2 linked regions of the Arabidopsis thaliana genome follow. The protein of the gene in region 2 interacts with the protein of the main gene of each other region in a pairwise test. Each region holds a gene or a part of one and is shown on either strand. Other genes may lie near its edges.

Evidence for each region.
Region 1: the proteins of CSI1 (region 2) and CESA6 interact in a two-hybrid assay, tested with the Arabidopsis thaliana proteins (one study listed by BioGRID).

Annotation. Positions count from the first base shown.
Region 1 is NC_003076.8:25,879,301-25,887,147, reverse strand, and holds CESA6 (cellulose synthase 6), read right to left. Parts: upstream 6,116-7,847; 5' UTR 5,594-6,115; coding exon 5,513-5,593; intron 5,119-5,512; coding exon 4,923-5,118; intron 4,835-4,922; coding exon 4,632-4,834; intron 4,549-4,631; coding exon 4,271-4,548; intron 4,189-4,270; coding exon 3,922-4,188; intron 3,839-3,921; coding exon 3,493-3,838; intron 3,306-3,492; coding exon 3,168-3,305; intron 3,082-3,167; coding exon 2,956-3,081; intron 2,845-2,955; coding exon 2,632-2,844; intron 2,549-2,631; coding exon 2,272-2,548; intron 2,187-2,271; coding exon 1,990-2,186; intron 1,908-1,989; coding exon 1,557-1,907; intron 1,397-1,556; coding exon 815-1,396; 3' UTR 420-814; downstream 1-419. UniProt on the Arabidopsis thaliana protein: Catalytic subunit of cellulose synthase terminal complexes ('rosettes'), required for beta-1,4-glucan microfibril crystallization, a major mechanism of the cell wall formation. Involved in the primary cell wall formation.
Region 2 is NC_003071.7:9,404,138-9,409,240, reverse strand, and holds the start of CSI1 (binding protein), read right to left. Parts: upstream 3,183-5,103; 5' UTR 2,891-3,182; intron 2,554-2,890; 5' UTR 2,449-2,553; coding exon 2,383-2,448; intron 2,062-2,382; coding exon 1,988-2,061; intron 1,769-1,987; coding exon 1-1,768.

The sequences.
Region 1 (7,847 bases), on a different chromosome or scaffold from region 2:
ACAAAATTAGAAACTTTTATTTCAAAAATGACTCGAAATTAAAGTCCTCTTTCTGGTATCTATGTGTAGACATTTTAATAAAACTAGAACGATACAAAAATATTAAATTACTTTGCGTAGTGACACTTACAAATGAGAAACAAAAAAGTTTTCAAAATTCTCTAACCAAAAAGACTAACCAATCTGAGTGCTGCCCTCTGCAGATATGATGAAAGCACCATGTCACTTGTCAAAACAGAACCAATAAAAGTGTAAAAGGCTGTGTAGATTCGGGCCTGTATTGGGCCTGTATAATTTGTTTTGGGCCACTCTGATCAAGTTCGTAATTTTCTAAGGTTTGGTAACATTTTTAATGGATGCTTTAAAACGTCTCCAAGCATGCGGATTGAAAATCAAAACCAATCAAACCTCGAGTAAATTAATTTTTCAAACAAGAAATAAGATAGGGAAATTAGTGAAAATAAATCAAAGTTCTTTAATCATAAAAGATTACAGATTGAAAATGCTCTTCTGTAATATTCAAAAGAGATCAGAAATATTCAATTAAAGAATAATTTGACAAATCTTTTTTCTCTCACCACCAAAGAACAAAACAAATAGACAACAACTTTCTTCTTCATCTCTATATCTACAACACATTCTTGCAAAAATAACAATTCTCGTAACAAAATTAAATCTTCTTTTTCTTTTCATTTTTCATCATCTAATGAACACAATGAAGGAGTCTTTTAGAGGTAAAACAATATCTCTCTTACCTCTCTTTGATCCGTGGGAATTAAACCTTTTTCACCAACCCATCCACCGGTCAATCGAATCACAAGCAGTCTAAACCACAGATCTCGAGAATAGGACCGCCTTTCGCCACAAACGGATTAACCCGGACCCAAAGAAGTGTAAGAATCGAGGCCAGGAGGATGGACCAGACGACAATAATGGTTGGCATTCTATCTTGTTTCCCAAGCAAACCTTTAAGGAACGGGTAAAGATGAATGATGACCCAAAGTGCAAAGAACAGTCTTCCGAAAAGCGGTCCCCACGAGTCGTATCCATTGCTGATGGCATCAGAGACTCCGACTATGACTCCAATGACGTTTATGATGAGTAGAGTCATTGGAGGGATGAGAAGTGAAGTCCATTTGAAGAGGTAAAGGTCAGAGAACTCTCCATCATCAGCTGCTTTTGATGTGACTGTGAAGTTAGTGTCGACACCAGCAAGAACCTTGAGGAGACCTTGGAAGAGAGCAAACAGATGCGCAGAAACACCTCCAATGACCCAAAACTGTTCGTTTCTCCACCAATCATCGATCCCAACTTTGCCCCATTGCATCTCGAGAATACCCGTTATTGCAATCGACGAGAAGAGCGCCATGAAGAGGATACTCGCATAGTTGCTAATCTGGAAAAAGAAGGAACAAGAATCGTTTTCCGGTCTTAAAACACACAACTTGGAATAAAGATTCATATGATACTTTTAACCCCCAGTGGCAAGGAAAATGAATAAGCACAAAACGTGAAATAAAGATTCATATTTTGAGAACTCAAGATGATTGTTTTACCTCGGGAACGATGAATTTTCCAGTGAGAAGACAGATGGCAGGGAGAGAACAGTAAACGATGAGCGGTAGAGAGGTCCACGGGTAAACCACAGAGTTAATGTAGGACAACCGCTCAAGCCATTTCAACCCACCTCCATAACCATACCAAATAGGACAATGCCTACTCAAGAAAATCTCAACCGACCCAAGCGCCCATCGAAGAACTTGATGGAGACGATCCGAAAGATTGATTGGAGCTGATCCTTTGAAAGCCGCTAACTTTGGTGTACAATAAACAGATCTCCAACCATGAGAATGCATCTTAAAACCCGTAAGAATATCTTCGGTAACAGAACCATAGATCCACCCAATCTGAGATTTTTTTCACAAGGTCATCATCAAAATCAAGAATTGATTGAATAAACACAACAAAGGTTTAAAACCGGCTGCTTACCTCTTTTCCCCATTCAGTTTTATCTTCATATCCGCAACTAATGACTTGGATGGCTTCTTTAAGCAGACAAGCCGGGCTTGCGTTTCTAGCCATCCCACCATTCTCCATACGCGCAGATGCAACAAATACAGGAGACTGCCCAAATTTCTTCTCCAACTTCATTTGCATTGCCTCGGTTGACTGTTCTACGTTAGAACCTAGAATGTTTTTTAAATTTTATTTTTTTAGTAAAATGCACCGACTAACGAAAGAGTTTAACAACAAACAGGATTTGTATGATACCTTTAGTGACGCGGCCCTCTTCGATATTTTCTAATGCGTGGATCTGCTTTGACGCTTCCCTATTCTTCTTCTTCTTATCCGCAGCCACTGTCTTTGCTTTACGATTCTTTCTTGAACCAAAACATAGGAGACACCATTTTGGCCAGCAATTGCATGTCTTACGTGGGCCCTTCTTCTTCTTCGGTGCATCAAATCCGTAAAGCGCTTGCCTCCTGAAAACACAACCTGTACCGACGTATATAGGCCCTTGTAGCCCATCCAAACCTTTCATATTGATCTGTAAATAAAGATTCATTAGTTGGTATTCTACAGAAATCTCAAGAAAAAGGGATACAATAGGAAAGTGGTGGCTGTACTTACATCAAAGAACACAACATTGCGATTTGAGTATCGATCGTGCCTATCAATCCCATCGAACCTTTGAGGGAACTGAACATAACAGATTTTCTTTCCTGACTGAGGATCCATCATGAAACACATTGCTTCTCTAAGAGCTTTGCTATTGTTGATGTAGTGATCACAATCGACATTCAGAAGGTAAGGAGCATTTGATAGAACCCCAGAGACTCGTATCTTCAACAAAAGTTTTGTAGATGAAATCAAGAGTCAGGAACCATTTCAATAAATGGCAAGACGTAATTTACAAAGAAGAAGGTTTAGAGCTTTAAAAAGTATATCATTTACCAGGGAATTCATAGCTCCAGCCTTCTTATGGTGATCAAATCCGGGTCTCTTCTCACGAGAAACGTAAACTAATCGAGGCAACTCGTTGTTTTCGACATCACGAACACCGTCACTTCCAAGGAAGACCTTTAACAAGAAAACAAAGTATAATTAAATTTTGAAGGACAACACATAAGAAGGCTTTTCAGAAATAAGAAGCATTTGAAACTCACCTGAATCATGCCAGGATGATCTCGCACACTATTACCGGGCCAAGGTGTACCGTCTTGCATAGTCCAACCATCCTCAGGCACTTTCTGTGCTGTTGCTACTAAAGCATTGATCTTTACTTTGAATTCTTCATAATCTCTCTGTCAAAACCAGTAAAACACACAATCTTTCAAATCAATTTTCAAAGCCACCATCTTCTTTCATAAGAGCCCATATAACAAAAGATTGATAACTTTTCTCATGAATTTTTTTTTTCTAAAGCAAGAATCAATTAGACCAAAACTTTTCTCATCAAATCAAATTTATAAAAAAGTAAGAACTAGTAACCTTCATGGCTCGCCGCTCCCTAACAAATGCGGGATGAACTTTATTCTTCAAGTAGTCCATTTTATGGCAGAAATACCATTCGGGAGCACGAGGCTCAATACAATATTTCTTGCAGAAAGGAACCCATTTCCTTGCGAATTCAGCGGTCTCAGAAAGAGCTTCGAAAGTAAGCATAGCAGCACCATCATCAGATACGTAACAAGCAACCTTATCGACAGGATAATCAACAGCAAGAATAGACAAGACAGTATTTGCAGTAATAAGCGGAGGCTCTTTCAATGGATCCACTGTACTAACAAATACATCCACAGGGGATAGTCCCGACGGTTTCCCTTCTTTCTCATATCTGCAAACAAAAAAAATAAGGATTATATCCCCAAAACAAAGTTTTAACATTTCCAAGTGTAATAACCCACAAGATGTAAGTACCTTAATGAGAGTCGGTCCAAGTACGTTTCTCGCTCGATAGGGTACCATTTAGGGAACTGATCAAGAACCCATGAAACAGCAAACCATATCTCACATATAACAGAAATAAGCCACAAAGCATATGCATCTTTGACGGGGTGAAGAATACGGTAGTGAAAGAAGAGACCAAGAATCACAAGACGTAGCACAATTAACATCCGGTAAGGATTTATCTTGCTCGATTTGATTGGTATCTTCCTAGACAATGGCTGCCTTCCCTCATCCATCCTAAAATGGAAAAAAAAGGCTTGATAAATATCACTGCAACGGAACAAGACATCAACAAAAAAAATTATATTCTTTGCCTTACATTGGAAAATCAGCATCATCACCATCTTCAAAATCAGGATCTCCTTCATGCCTAACAACCTGAAGTTTCTCATTCTGCTTTCTCTTCCATTCCTCCATCCGATCTTTCCAAGCGACACTTCCATAACCATAAACCGCAAGATCTTTCTGAGGTACCATAGGCCTTGGATGTGCAGCCACGGTCGGGTCAGAAAGAGAAACAGGATGAACTCTATTGCCATGACCACCAAGTGAAGGAGGAACAATAAGAGCATGTCTATCAGAAGAAATCTCAACGTCCTGTAATAAAACAAAAGAGAAATCTGAGTGAGCCAATTACTGAAGATGGGTTATACAATGTGGATACATTCTGAGATTTTTACCTCGTCGCCGTAAGTCAGCAATGGAATCTGAGAGCCAGGTGGAGCTGAATCCAAATCAGATTGTGGGAAACCGGAGTTGCGACGAGAGATTGACATACCTTCAGAAACCTGATCAAATCCAATCCCATTATTTCCATACTCAAACTCATTGTCTAAATCATCAATGTCATCTTCCTCTTCATCACCTTCAACTCTTGGACTTCCTAACAAACAACAACATAGGCCGAACAAATCAGAAAATCTTCTACATTCACAAAAAACCAAAGAAATTTGGTCTAACAAACAACGAACCTTTAAGACGTTTGAAACGGGTTTTGCACTGTGGACAAGCTTGATTGCCTTCTCGTCTTTCGTACTCATAGCAAGGTCTACACACAGGGAATGCACATTCGTTACATGCCACAAACGGTTCTCCATCAACAGTCAATTCGATCTCATCTCTGCAGATTTGACATGTCTGTCCACTCAGCTCTTGGACTGATCTTATCTGCACAAAACAGTAGAGTTAAATACATCAGATCATAGTAGTGACACTATCAGACTGGATCTCACACCAGATCAAAGTAACCCAATAACATAATTATTACTCTTCACATTGATAGATTCATAATTGCAATTGAAGAAATCTCTTAAATTGGAGAATTAAGACAAGTCAAATCCGGAAAAATCCATCCCACCGACACAATCAATTCTTGATAAAATTAGCTACAAGGGTACGTAATCTTAATACTAGTACTAAAAACCCTAAATCTTAATTGATTTGCAGTGGTAAGAGCCAGATCCACAAGAAAAGTAAAAAAAGTCAGAGACTTTTGAACAGAGATAGAGAAACACAGATCAAAAGACAGAGAATTGGAAACAAAAGAAGAGGAGAAACATACTCGGGCATTCTCATCGGCATTAATGAGGACAAACTCATTCCTGTTGTGAGAACCGGCGATTAACCGACCACCGGTGTTCATATTTGTCTGAAAACAGACACAGCTAACAATCTTGGATTTCACAGATCGATTGAGAAAGAGAGGAATGTGTTGTAATTAACTCAACTCGATTGTCAGAGATCCAGAGACCATAAATCAGAGGATAGATAGCTCTCTTTCTCTCTCTCACACACACACAAAGCGGCAAACCGGAGTCTAAAAAAACAGACTTTGATGGGAAAAATATAATAAAAATACAAAAGGGGGAATAGTGAAGGTGTATTGTATATATGGAGATGGTATTGATTCAGCTGCAAGCCACAACCTTTTCTTTTCTTTTGGTTTTGGGCCTCTCTCTCCTCTCTGAAAGTGCACACAGTCACAGAAATAAAGGATGATTCCAGAGCGAGAGAGAGAGAGAGAGTCAATGGTGGAGAGAGAGAGAGAGACAGACGCAAGCCTGCGAAATGATGATAAAAGGGGGTTAAGTACAAACGCGTAAGGAAGAAGAGAATCAGTGATTAGTTAAATGGTGTGAGATAATTAAAGGCAATTATGTAGATGAGGAAAAAGAGCACCAAAATTAGATAAAATTAGTAATTAAATTTTGAGAAGTAAAAGAATGTGGGACCCATTAAACCTTGTGTGTATCTCTCTCTTCCACTCCACTTGTTGTTGTAAAGAAGAGATTAGTAAAAACTTCCAAACACACATTATTATTAGCCATTAATTATTAACAATACTGTATTATGTGATGCATTGAATCACCCTAACATTTTATTTTGTCTCTAAACTTTAGGTCTTTTGTTTTGTTACAAAAAAAAGTCACCTTTTTTTTTTGGGTGATTTTCTTCACCCTAAAATGTGTTTAATTTGGTTTCGGTTAAATTTTCCTACCATACATGTTTTAAATATATAGTAAAATCAAATCTACTTTGGATGGAGCCTTTTAGATTTAGTTTAGATCATATTTGGTTTATTAAATATATATATTTTAAAGTTAAAAAATGAAAATAATATAAATGAAGTGAAACTCGGTTTGAATTAATAACTACATTTTGAGCCAATTCAGAGTGGTTAGTCAATTTTCTCTATTAATCAATTGATAGCCGAGATTGTATATAATCATTATAATTTTATTTTCGTTTTAATTATTTGTCTGCGTACACTCTCACGTTCTTGCAACATGTGCAAGAAAATAATAGTTGTAATGAAATAGTATTATCTTAATTTAAGATTAAAAAAAAAGTTACACAATCAAGTTCTTAATTCCTCTAATTATTTTGTTAGAGAGACTTCAAAATGTCGAGAAACAGATATGGGCATTTACTTCCCAGACAAAAAACAATCTGTAAGCATCGTGTCCAAGATCCTATTTTCTAGTTTTTTTTTTTGTTCCTTCTAATTTTTTATATACTTTTTTTTTGTTCCTTCTAATTACGTTTAATTTTTTACTTATTAAATTTATTGCTTAAGTTAATTATGTTCTACGCATGGACTGTATCATGGTTTTTGACTGTTGACTGCATTGGTTTTCACTTTTGCTTCCCTCCTTCCTCTCTTATGTTTTTACTTTTCTAGTTTTTTTTGTTCCTTCTAATTACGTTTAATTTTTTACTTATTTAATTTATAGTTTACTTATTTAATTACATTTTTATTAGTTTAATATCTCCATCCTCTGATAATTTTCTTTTTAGTTTTTATAGTTAAATTATTTTTCAACTTTGATCACTCTCTTTTGTTCAATCAGTTCTGTTTATTTTACTATATTTTTTTGTATGTTATGTCTACCATATTTTTAAATAACATGCTTTTTTTTTTTTTAATCTTGGCTCCACTCGCCAAGTCGCCATATAGCTAATTTTTCCTCCGTGCTTAAATAAGAGAAAAATGTTCAAATTATTGAGACTATGGTATCACATCACACAAATATATGCGATTTGCCCATGTATGATGTCTATACTATATGTATACATTTGCCGACAAATAGTTCGTGGTATATATAAAACAATATTTTAACAGTATTTTGCTTGTTGATTTTTTTTAATCTTTTGACTTGTTGATAGATATAGTCCGGAAATTAAAGAAATATTAAGAAACTTTCATAAAAAAAGATCGAACTTTAGTAGGTTACCACATCAAATGTCGTTTTCATGATTGATTGAATGCTGTGTACTGTCTTCTCCAAGCCCTCGTGCCACATGTTCTTATAGAAACTGTCGGTGCCCTTATATTATTCTTTTTCCTAGTAAATATTGTTTTAATTTTCAAGACTATAGAATAGAAAAACGTTTAA
Region 2 (5,103 bases):
CTTCAATGCATCCAAAACGTAAATTTTAGACTCAGGTAGATCACTGGTCAGCAAAGCAGTAAGCTGACTGATAGTTGCAGTATCTGATTTATGAATCAAATGATTCAATGTCTTGGCGGCAATTTCTTTACCATTTGGACTACCATTCTTTAGTAGCCATAAGAGAGCAGGGACAGCATCCGCACTTTCAACACAAGCACGTATATCTTCGCTATGATTGCACAAGTTCCTAAGGATAGTTGCAGAGTCTTCCCTGGCTTTGGCCGACCCAGTCTCTAGAATTTGAACAAGTGGAGGTATACCTCCAGCAGCAGTGATGGCCCACTTGCTTTCATCATTTTCGTTAGACAAAAGGCAAAGAAGTGCAACAGCACATTCTTGCTGCTGTTCGGATGAAAGACCCAAAAGAGATATTAGCAATTGGATCCCTTCACGGCCCTGTAGTGCTTGCCACAGGCTACCTTCATGGTTACACAGCATCAGAAGAGCCTTTACAAGCTCATCTTGAACCTCATTCACCGCCATCGTTATTAGACCAACAAGCAAACGTTTTGCATCCGAGTTGGAAAGTTTGACAGAGAGTATGGAATTCCCATACAAACTTGCAAGTGCTTCAATTGTACGTTCTTGCACCAAGAATGGTAGACGAGGCTTAAACTGCTTCAGCAGAGTCTGTTCAACGACCAATGGATCTGATGCTCTTGTAGTTTCTGCCTTGCCATCATATATCATCAATGCTGAAGCTAAAGCCCCAAGGGTGTCGGCAGTCTGAGCAGGCGAAGAGCAAGATTCAAGGCTCTGACCAAGGCTTGATATGACATATGACAAACCACCGGAAATATTAGCAAGGGCACACATTGCATTTTCTTGTAATGCTTGCGCATATTCACCTTGCATGAATTCTTTAGATGGAGCTATTGTTGCATTTATTAAAACAGGAATACCATTAGAATTAGCGATTTCCCGCTTTGCTTCCTTAGATTGAGCAGAAAGCGACTTGAGAGCAGCAGCAGCCTCTGCCCTCACTGGGGCTTCATTACCCGATCCTAATAATTTGAGAAGCTGTTTTGTAATGTCTGCAGTCAATACACTGGAACAAACAGAGGCGTCTTCCATCATCATACACGCAAGAAGGAAGCAGACATTAGATAGTGTACTTGACTGCCCGCTTGTGAGCAGCTTCACAAGTACATCCACTCCCCCAGCTCGAATTGTCTCAGACCAAAATCCCTCTGTGGTACTAGAAAGGTTCTTAAGTGCACCAGTTAACAAACCATCAACCTCTCCTTTTTTATTTCCACTGCGCAATTGGTCCCACAGAACCGGTACAACTCCCTCAGTGGAAAATATTTTTGATCCAACATGGTCTTTAACCCCACCTTCAGAAACAGCATAGATTGTCTTTGCTGCAGCGATCTGCCCTTCGACTGAACTGGACTTGAGAAGACCAAGCAATGGAGGAATGCATCCCCCAAGTAACACCTTAACTCTAAGTTCGTTCTCCTTGCAGAGTGAACCCAAGACGGTTGCAGCTTGTATCTTCACTCCAACTGATCCCGATCGGAGAAGAGAGACAAGTACTGGCACAGCTTGGGAGTGTGATCCGACAGCACTGAATGCATTCTCACGCATTTCTATAAGGTCCAGTAACTGCTTCAGACAATATTCTCTTTCTTGTGCAGATGATGAACCTTGGCGCAGCTGCTCAATGCATTGGGCAACACTTGCTAATGTCCCATCTGGATCTTCCATGCTGGTTGTCCGGTCTCTGCAGGGGATGGGGAAAGTTAGATACTAATTCGCTAATAGGTGTGCCTTTCTGCTTAAAATGTCTCATTTGAAAGGATAACATAGGAAACCAATCCAGATAATATTAATTTCCACAGGCATTGTTAAACCAAGATGGTGGTGCAACAAATACAGATAAAACCTCAATTTTATCACGATGATTAGCTCCCATGCAGTACCAAATACATATATGCGTTACCTCAAACTCATCTTTGTGGTTGAATGTGGAGTTGGGGGCTCTGAATCATGCATCTTCATATCCCCATTTCTCTCCTGCAATCAAGACCAAACAACAGAAAATAAGTTAAAAGAGCAACAAGACCTTTTCGCTCCTATGCAATGGAAAAACTATAACCTTTATCATGACACTCTATCAGATATAACTGACTGGTACAAAGCCATTAATTAACAATGGACTTAGCTCAAGTACTTTTTTCAAATCAGATTCAAAATGCAAGGGACATATCAGCTTAATCATCCTGCTAATACACCAGATCTGACTTTGCAACTCAGAAAGATTGCAGTATATCAACTAAACAAGCTTTTCCATAAACCCGTGTGATGAATGTTAATACTGAATCAAGTAATTATTACCGTGTCACTTGGGGCAAGGCCATTTCCATTAGTGGAAGGAAATCTCCATCCAAGAGCACTTGTCATATCTTCACTTCACTTAAAAAATTCTCAAATCAAAAGTAGACCCAGAGACCTTGCCCCCTACCCAGATCTACTCAAATCAGATCGTCAGAACATCAACAACACCCCCTGCATAATATATAAAAAGGATCAATCTTTACAATAGAAAACGATACAGTGAAGTAGGAAAAGCTCAATGCAATTATATTATAATTGAAGACTAATAGTATAAAAATATCACTCTACCTAACTGAATTCTACTACTGCTAAATCTCGATCCGAATCGTTTAACATTCCAGATTCGAACTAAAGCTAAATGAGGAAACTTTTTAACCAATAGGAACTCAAAAAACAGGATTCTTCAGATCTAGATCATAATTGGATCTCTATCAATGAAATCAAACACAAGAGATCCGATAATTCAAAAAGCATGCATTTAGACATTGATAGATCAAATTGAACTCACCTCAATGCAACAAGGAGAAGAAGATGAACAATCTGTTACGTAGAAGAGAAGCGAATAAGACGAGAGAAAGGAGAGAGGAGTGAGAGAGAGGTTTCTTCTTCTTCTTCGTCTGTGATTTTGACTCAACAAAGTATAAAGCGGGGGAGAGAGAGAGGGAAGAGAGAGAGCTGTGTGTGTGCTGGTGAGAGAGAGTGATCAGATTGGAGCCGGCTTTGTCCACCGACAGACAGCGAGTGGATTCACTTAGCGACTCGAGCCGGCTTGAGTCGGTTGTCGAGCCGACAGAACTAAACGACTCTTGTACAGCGAATGGTATACTTAATTGTTTTTTATTACTTTCTTTAATCAAAAATAAATGAGGAAATTGACTTTTAGCTGTGAATTAATTATTTACATCAAACATTTTTTTTGTTAACAAAAATTATATAACTGTTTTTTTCCAGCAATTAGCCAATTAGTAAACATTTTGGTTCATTTGTTCAAGCAAAATTTTACATTTTATAAATTTGATTAACCTTTTTATCCAAAACATCCGTAGAATTGAAACAATATAAGAAAAAATATTATACCACAAAAATTACACACACGAATAAAAATATTGTCTAATTTATTTCTCAGATAATAACTTAATTAGTTAATTGTCTCTAAGTTTAGATTATGTTACCAAATTATCACTCATGGGGTTATCTCGATTTTTTAGTGCAACACAGTCATTACAAATATTTATTTAATATTTTTCAAAAGGATATCAAAAATAAATTGTCTATTTTATTGTGTCATTTAACATGTTGAAGTAAGTTATGTAATAATCAAAAGTTATCTCTTACAAGATCAATCGGATAAACAATCAAGAAAAAATAATAAAATATACTGATGAATTAATAAAAAGAATAATAGTAAGATCTGCAGTAGTTGTTGTTATTGGTCCTATTATGTTGATTTGTTACCAAACTTGATTAATTAGCCCATAACAATGGCGATAGTAAAGGTTTCTATCTACCACCAATTGTCATCCACAACATAATCATCACGAATTCTATATATATGGACAAAAAGTATAATAACTATTTTTACGGCTTCCTTCACATCTAAATTATTTTCCATAATTGTTCAAAAATCGCGACAGCAGTTCTTTTCGTCTGAAAGTGAGAGAAGTCGGGGGAGCAAATTATAAGGATGGTAAAACATATAACGTGGGAGAGAAAAAGCACATGGCCTCATGGCTCATGAGAATCAAAGATTCTAAGTTTTAACTATTCTTTTGTTTTTTCCTCGACGCATGTTTTGTTTCTATCGACAACTATGCCCATAAAAGCATATGATATGCACAATTATGATAATCATATGAATGCACATGTGCTCTTTCTTCCTAGCCAATTATGATCATTGACGATCATCACTATACCATAAAAATGACTGGACAAAGTCATATTCTTTGATGCTTCTTGTCACAACTTGATACATCCACTTTCCCGAACCGTATAAAACCCAAGAAGCAAAATTCTCATATAGATCTCATAGATTCGTTCGAAATATGTTAAATTTGCATCGGATATAGAAGGTGAAGGCTGCGTCTCCGGCCGGTGAACCGTCGTTTTACTGATCTTGTTTCTATTATGTTCCGATTTGGACCACTTTTTTGTAACCCGTGAAATTCTTAGCCCATCTGTCAATAGACCGTTTGGAAATGAATATCTAAAAAAAAAAAAAAAGATGTGAAGTCCATATTTAATCAGTGCCCGGCATTGGAACGTAGTAAGTTTGAGGAAGCATCAACTTGTAGCCGTGAAATTAATATTATGGTTTTTAGTGGTTTTAATTTAGCGTGTCATAAGTGAGAGTAAAAGAACTCTTTGATATTTCATTTTCATACATATATAATTTACTTCAATATAATGGTTTGATGAGGGTCTTATCATACATTTGATTTTTTCTTTTATTTTAGTGTTACATTTTAACTTAATTCTTACGTACATCTTTTCTTAATAGACTATTTTCTCATTATTATTTTTGGTTTCTCTCTCTCATTTTTTACATTTTGATTTTGTTTGCAAAGATTTGAAAGTCATCTTTGCCAAAAAAAAAAAAAACCAAAAAAAAAAGATTTGAAAGTCATCATCTAGTCCTCTTGATGAGTAGATTGTCATTGTTTTTTTTGCTAAATTGTAAATATTTCATAGATAATGAAAACAGTTTAGGTTGTAAACATAGAA